2 linked regions of the Tribolium castaneum genome follow. The protein of the gene in region 1 binds, or shares a complex with, the protein of each later gene. Links are inferred from orthologs where the notes say so. Each region holds a gene or a part of one and is shown on either strand. Other genes may lie near its edges. The genes, in order: TfIIEbeta and Polr2J.

Region 1 (4,506 bases):
ATTTCTGGATTAAAAAGCAACCTAGAAGATTAAGAAATTGGCTCAAAAGACGTTCATAATTTAACTCAACATTTAACGAGTTGTTTTAAAAAAATATCTTTTGAAATTTGAAGAAAATACTAAATGAAATATAAAAATGTACCTTCTTCGCGTATCGCAGAAAAATTAACGGAAATTAAAACTGCTGAAATACCTGTAGCTATGTACCTATGAATCTTTTTGTTTTTTAAAGATTCACTGTTAATTAGGTAATGTGTAATGTTAGGTAGTTAGACGCAACTTAAGAGATACTCTTAAATGGGCCTACTGTAGACCAATTTTTAATTCGTGATCTTTTTCATGTAAATGAAACAAACATAAAAAAAAACAAAGGTTTATTCAAATTTTAGTTATTATTATAAGTTATTTTTTAAGCAAAGTGAAGTGAAGGTTCGTATCAAAGATATCAATTACCTTGAAAATGTCAACATTAACACTTCTTTCGATAGCCAAAAGAGATAATGAAGACAACCTTTCTTGGCCAATCTTCCTAGTGTTCGTTTTCAACCGCCGCAAGCGAGAAAAAGACCTCTCACAAGATGTTGTGTTTATTGGAATCGCAAAAAATAAACATATAAAGGTCAAAAAGTAGAGGGAACATACTTTTCATAGCCCTTCAACAAAAATGTCGGCTCTTTCTTGGATAATTTTGTTTTTTCATTCTTCCATATTACAAATAATGTTGAGCTGAACAATTTTGGATGGCAATTGCCACCCCCAAATTACGCACTGCCCCAGGTAGTCTTAGCTGGGACAAAATTGTCTCAAAATTGGCGAATTATTCCGAGTTCAGAGCGTTGTAGAGTTCCGTAGCTTAAATGTATGAGAAGACACAAAATGAAGATTTACTTTGAATTGCGTTTTCTTCAAACGCGGGCTAAAAATTTTAGTGTTTATTGTTATTTATGGTGTTCTTAGATGATTGTAGAAAATAATAATTTAAAACTAATTAAAAAATTGTGTAATTTTTTTAGAAAAAATATTTTATTCATTCAACTTGTTTAATTTTTCTTAAAAATGTAACAACAAATTACAAAAACTTAATTTTTTTACACCAAAATAAAGCTATTTTTTAAGAAATCGACAATCGTTTTACATTATTATTCTCAACAATCATCTTCACCATAAATAAGAATAAACACTTAAACTTTTAGTCCGTATTTGAAGAAAACGCAGTGCAAAGAGAAAGTGATCTTCAAACCAAAGTAATGGGGAAGCCCCGAATCTTCATTTGGTTTCTACATTTGGACTACTGAAGCGATTCTTTACTATCTTTACAATGCTCTGAACTCGAAATTCGCAAATTTTGAGACAGCTTGCATTGTAAAACAAAAACCAAAAAACCTCCACACAGCAAGCTAGTAGTTGGCATCACATCCGATTAAAAACTAGAGTTAATTAACAACGATTATTACTACATATTTCTATAATTAGTAATTAATTAAATAATAATATTGCAAAAAAATATATAAAATTCGGTTCAAGGAACAGTCGGCCACAAAAGACAGACAGCGCAAGGCATCGGTCCCCCACCACTTGTCACTTTGACAGCCGTGAATGTCAAATGCAAAAGAAAACAGATGATTATTCCTCAAACAACATAGTTCGTATTATTTATTTATTATTTCTCCAATAAAATGGACCCCGCCTTACTAAAAGAAAGAGAATTATTCAAAAAACGTGCACTTACAACTCCTACGTAAGTAGCATTCGCATTTTGTCAACTTATTCAGTTAATTTTGTTCTACTTTCAGTGTAGAAAGAAAAAAGACTGATTCAAGACCAGAACCAACTCGCGATGATAGCAAAAGGTTTAAGTCTTCTAGTAGTAGCACCCCTAAACTTGATATCAACACGTAAGCAGCAAAACATTGCAAATTTGAATCAATTACTTTGTGATTTTTTTTTAGATACAAAACAGCAACAGGAAGTTCGCAATATCGATTCGGTGTTCTCGCTAAAATCGTGAAACATATGAGGAAGAGACACCAAGAAGGTGAAACATATCCACTCACATTAGAGGAAATTTTAGACGAAACTAATCAATTAGACGTAGGGAATAAAGTCAAGCAAGTAATTTTGTGTCATTATTACAATACTTAAATGTAATGGTGTTGATTTAAGTGGCTGCAAACCGAAGCGTTAGTCGATAATCCTAAAATTGAGGTCACTCCTGACGGAAAATTTTTATTCAAAGCTCCATATAAACTTAAAGACAGGAAAAGCTTACTGAAACTATTGAAACAACAAGATTTGAAAGGGTTAGGCGGTGTGTTGTTAGACGACGTGCAAGAGTCGTTACCACACTGCGAAAAGGCTTTGAAGGTATCATTCTTTTAGTTATTTTCTAAACGAACGACGTACAAATAAAACGTCTCCGACTTCAATATTTTCGGTAATGTCGCCAAAAAGCCCAGTTGACTATTTAAATAACTATTAACACAATTCAAAAAAATACAGGCACATAGAGCATTAAATTTTCAAGAGTAACAACTAAAAATAATGCAAAAATTTCAAACATATTAATTTGCAGTGTGACCCATATTTTTAAAACGCTGTTAATTTGGTTAAAGATACAAGAAAAATGTTAGGAACAAAGTAGTAGAAAAATCAATTTTCTACAAAAAAGTCCGCGACTATTTTTCTTTACAACTTTGTTCTTCACACTTCTTTATACCTTTAAACGTATTCGCTATGTTTTAAAAATTATAACGCGGATTGCAAATTGATAATAAATGTTTATATTTTTTTGCACTTTTAATTTAAATTAAAAACTTAATACAGAAAGAGTCAGAGATTAAGATAGTGGAAACACTTTATTGAAAACAGTGTCAAAAAATCGCATATTTATATATATGAAAACGCTGCGAATTCAACTAAAGATGTGTAAGAAGCATAGATGTAGAGAATTAAATTTCCTACAAAAAAGTCCGCCACATCTTCATTGGTTTAGGTATAAATTAATTTTCCAATACTTGACCATAAAATGAAACGAAACCGCTGTGTGAGCATTTTTAAACATTTTTGGGGCCTAAATAGTTGAAGATGTAGATATGGGGTCGTATGAATAAAGTTGAAGTATTTACTTAAAGTATGAGTATAAAGGAAAAGCATTTGCTCTTGCTTTTACTTCTTTAGTTTTTTGGAGAATCTGCTCTCAAAATAAATCATTGTAGTGAAGTTTTCAATGTTGTAATTTTTAAAATGGATTTCCATCTCCTCCCATTTCGTTGTTCTCACTCAAAAAATACCTAGCCAAAGCACGAAGATTTTTTCGTTCAAACCGATATAAAGTCTTAAAATCTTATCCTATGTGTTCGCGAGGTTGTTTATAAGTTTTTCTTACCCATAGTTGCACAACACCCACCATTGTTTCGAGTTTGAGGTGTTACTTTTAAAAATTGATGCTCCTACTGATTAGCGTCAACAATTTTGAACTAAATCCTCAACGAAAAAAGCATTTACTTTGTTTTATTCATTTTGTTTTGAGTAAAACCTCGACGTTCAAGCAAATACTCGCCCAGTGTGCTTTTACTTTTAGTAAAAACTTATACTTACATTTTTACTCATACAATTTAGAACATTTACTTGCAAAATTTGAAGTAAAAGCATTTACTCAATTGTATTCATACGGCCCTTGGTTTCGCAGATTTTTTAATAGCTATTTATTGTATAAGTGTTTTCGAAAGCATTTTATCCACGCAAGAATGTTTAATATTCTCAAGTGGATAAAATGCGACTAAAACATGAATGCAATACAATGTTTTATCCACAATCGTAAAATTAATCTTGGCAGGCTTTGTCTGGTAGTCATAATTCCTAGTTTATTCCACTAGTGGATAATAGGTCACTATAAGGCTAAAGGGGACGACAGAGTTAAACCAAGTGTGTGGCAAAGACAAGTAGTAATGAAATTTATTTTTCTACTTTTGGCGATATTTGTAATCCAATTTTAAATCGAAAAATGGAATTGACTCTTTTAAATAATTATAATTTGAGACAACGTAAGACTTTGAAAAAAAATTATTTGATATTTTTTTATTAAAAGTTTAAACAAATATTCATAATATTTTTAAAAATGTGTACGGGAAAGATGCACAGTGATGGTACGAACAGAATGCGTCCAAAAAACGAAAAATTTTGTTGTAGTTTTGAACGAATCGCGAATATTCATTTTGACAAAATTTGCCGCCGAGAATCTCCCACAGTCAAGTGCGGGACAAGAGAAAGAGAGGGCAAAAGCAACTAAAGACTAGAAGATGTAAAACACGATATTTCTGTATCCTAGTATTATTCATACAAACAATTATGGTGTTAATTCTATGAACTGAATTTAGTGAAGCATCAACAAAATCTTTTTTTTCACTTTGGAAACAATAGGTCAAATTTTAATTTATTTTTGGTAAAAAAATTATTTTGTCATGAAGATTTCTGATGATAGATTGAGAAAGCTCAGCAAGAAGCAAA
Region 2 (2,858 bases), on another chromosome or scaffold:
GTTGGAACCTTCTTCCGTAATGGACATCGGGTTAACGTAATAACGTTAACTGTCATGAATAACTAGATCAAAAGTTTAGTAAATCGCATGGTATTTGGATGAGCACTTTAAAAACAGGTCTCTTAAAATTGTGTGATACACACTGTATTTAATAAGGTACCCAACAATTTTTTTAAAAATTTGTAAGCGTAGATAACTTCAATGTTTTTTAAATGTAGGATCTATAATAAGTATAATATATAGTAGTAATAATACAATATTAATTATTAATAAAAAAAGTTAGTTGATATACCAAATAAGTGCTACTGTCAACAATTAATGAATAAATTATTTCATTTTAGCATAATATGCAAAAACAATAAAACTAAAAAACAGAAAATAAGAAAAAAGTCACAAAATAATAATCATACCAATTTATTCTAACAATTAGGCTAAAATTACCGAAAAGTAGTCGGTGTTGTCTTCTAAAAATAAAATAATTTGACGTTTTTAAATGTTTTGTTAGTTAAAAATAGCAAATTGTTTCATGTATGAAACTCGGAGCCAATGAATCAATTTCGGAAAAGCCCGAAATCAGCCAAAAACTTTAAATAAATCACTTGTCTCCAGGCTACCGTCCTAAAACATCGATTTCTTCCAAACTAATGACAGGAAGTTATGTATACATAACCTCAACCTCTAATGAAAAAACCATTTGACAAGCCACCGCCAACTTTATGAACATTTTTCTTTTTGTACAAAACCGGTAAAACTAAAAAATGATCGAGTTACTGAAACTGGAACAATATCCGCAATTTTAGGGCGTGTAAGTTAGAAAACCACAGCGACTAATGATAAGGAAAATTTACTCACACGACCATTCCGTATGCGCCTTCTCCAATGTATGATAAGTTCGTGTAACGGGGGCCCACCTCAAATACCTGACCCCTTACAACTTCTGCATTCGGATTTACACTTGATACACCTGTGGCTTCCGCCATTTTTAGCGAAACCTCCTAAACTACCTTCCTCGATGACAAACTCACGCACACTGAAGCCACAGACTGAAGCAGAGAGGAGCCGATCCCTAATATTTATCAGCTGATATCAGATCGTTATTATTCACACTTATTACCAATTTTTTCAAACTCCAACTAATTGTAGACTCGTTAGTAACGTTTTCACGTGGATTTTTCCAAATTTGAGGCTTTTTTGGTTTTTAAAACGAATTTATTCCCAGAAAAGATAGCCAAATAACGCGCCCCCTGGTGGACCAACTGAACACTAGTCGGGAAGCACCCTAATTTTATTTTCCATTATCGAACCCACAATAGGGCTACAATTTTCATTTTGGCGGCATTTGTAATACCCTATTAGACGTTCGATAAGTTTTTAAACAGAAAAATAAAAAATTCCGATATTTGGTTTTTGACAGATGACAGGACAGGTGACATAACCCACAAAAAAGTGACGCACTAATAAAAAGTTGTTAAAAATTAATAAGCGGTTTAAAAAGCTCAGTGAACAGTATTTCCATTCAGGATGAATGCGCCACCAACCTTCGAGTCATTTTTGCTCTATGATGGAGAGAAAAAGTGAGTGGGCAAATTCTCTGGACCAAAAATTTATTTTTACAAATTGTGTTTTTAGGATAATAAGGGAACAAGACACAAAAGTGCCAAACGCGGCTATTTTTACCATAAACAAAGAAGACCACACGTTGGGAAACATGATCAGAAAGTGTGTAACAAAACATTAAGGTTTAGGTTGAATTATTTTTGATTTTTTAGCCAATTGTTAAAAGATCCGAACGTTTTGTTTGCTGGATACAAGGTGCCTCATCCACTTGAGCATAAATTTGTGTTGAGAATTCAAACAACATCTGATTATTCGCCTCAAGAAGCTTTGATGAATTCTATCACAGATTTGATTTCAGAGTTGTCTTTGTTTGAAGAACGTTTTAAGGAAGCGATCAAGGAAAAGAAAGAAGGTTTAGATTAAGTATTTGAATTTATTCACTAATAATAAAGTTTATGCTTCGATAAATCAGTCTTTGTTATGTACCCAAAAATATGTCTTGCGTCCCAGCGTCAAAAGTTTAAAATGACTTGTTTATTTATGATGGTTAATAATTCGTTTTCAATTTTTATTCAAAATAAGCTATTTAAGATTTATTAAAAGGTGGCAAAGTCTGTGCTTTAAAGCACTTACGTAAATACAGTAAAACCTCAGTGATCCGTGTACACAGGCTGTCCGTTTTGCGAGCTCCACCATGAGTAATAAAATTTTATCGGTCTATTTAAAAATTAGCCTGTATATCGAAAGTGAGTTTTCAATTAAAAAAAAAACCTCAAAAATACTTTAAAACTTGGATGATTTTTGGCTAAATTTTGAAAATAATTCTGACTGCACCGTTATGTCATTTAGGTATTTAAGAACAATTTCATTTTTGTTTACCTTTCCAGAAATTTTTTCTGACTTAATTATAATTATAGTGGTTGAAGAAAGAAACGAGCATGTAACTGTTATTAACAGAAAAATATATTTTTATTTAATTCACAATCCTTTATTTACAATTAACCTCATCAACGGATAACTTACAAAACAACTAATTTGTGTCAAATAAATATTAACTAGAAATTTTTACAAGATATTTATTAATTTGCTAAATAAATTATTAATAACAGAATATGTTCTAAAATGTCTGATCCTCCTGGCAATCTTCTGTGGCATGACCAAAGGCTGAAACAGTAATTAAACCAAATGTTAGAAAGTAAAAATTCTTACCTTCGCATATTTCGCAATAAGGCCTTTCCGGCACATGTTTATGCTCCCCCCTCTGTCCTCCATTAGCCGGCGCTAAGTCAGTATTTTGTTTG

The links.
Region 2: TfIIEbeta (region 1) and Polr2J share a complex: the UniProt entries of both Homo sapiens proteins name them as parts of the TBP-based Pol II pre-initiation complex. The link is inferred for Tribolium castaneum from reciprocal best matches to the Homo sapiens genes GTF2E2 and POLR2J.

The regions. Positions count from the first base shown.
Region 1 is NC_087396.1:10,271,519-10,276,024, reverse strand, and holds the start of TfIIEbeta (general transcription factor IIE subunit 2), read left to right. Parts: upstream 1-1,561; 5' UTR 1,562-1,676; coding exon 1,677-1,738; intron 1,739-1,793; coding exon 1,794-1,895; intron 1,896-1,949; coding exon 1,950-2,112; intron 2,113-2,163; coding exon 2,164-2,364; intron 2,365-4,506. UniProt on the Homo sapiens protein: Recruits TFIIH to the initiation complex and stimulates the RNA polymerase II C-terminal domain kinase and DNA-dependent ATPase activities of TFIIH. Both TFIIH and TFIIE are required for promoter clearance by RNA polymerase.
Region 2 is NC_087395.1:21,131,090-21,133,947, forward strand, and holds Polr2J (DNA-directed RNA polymerase II subunit RPB11), read left to right. Parts: upstream 1-1,278; 5' UTR 1,279-1,521; coding exon 1,522-1,574; intron 1,575-1,629; coding exon 1,630-1,719; intron 1,720-1,769; coding exon 1,770-1,980; 3' UTR 1,981-2,025; downstream 2,026-2,858. Other genes in the region: mitogen-activated protein kinase 1, read right to left, coding at 853-980; uncharacterized protein CLIP-190, read right to left, coding at 2,675-2,721, 2,767-2,858. UniProt on the Homo sapiens protein: Core component of RNA polymerase II (Pol II), a DNA-dependent RNA polymerase which synthesizes mRNA precursors and many functional non-coding RNAs using the four ribonucleoside triphosphates as substrates.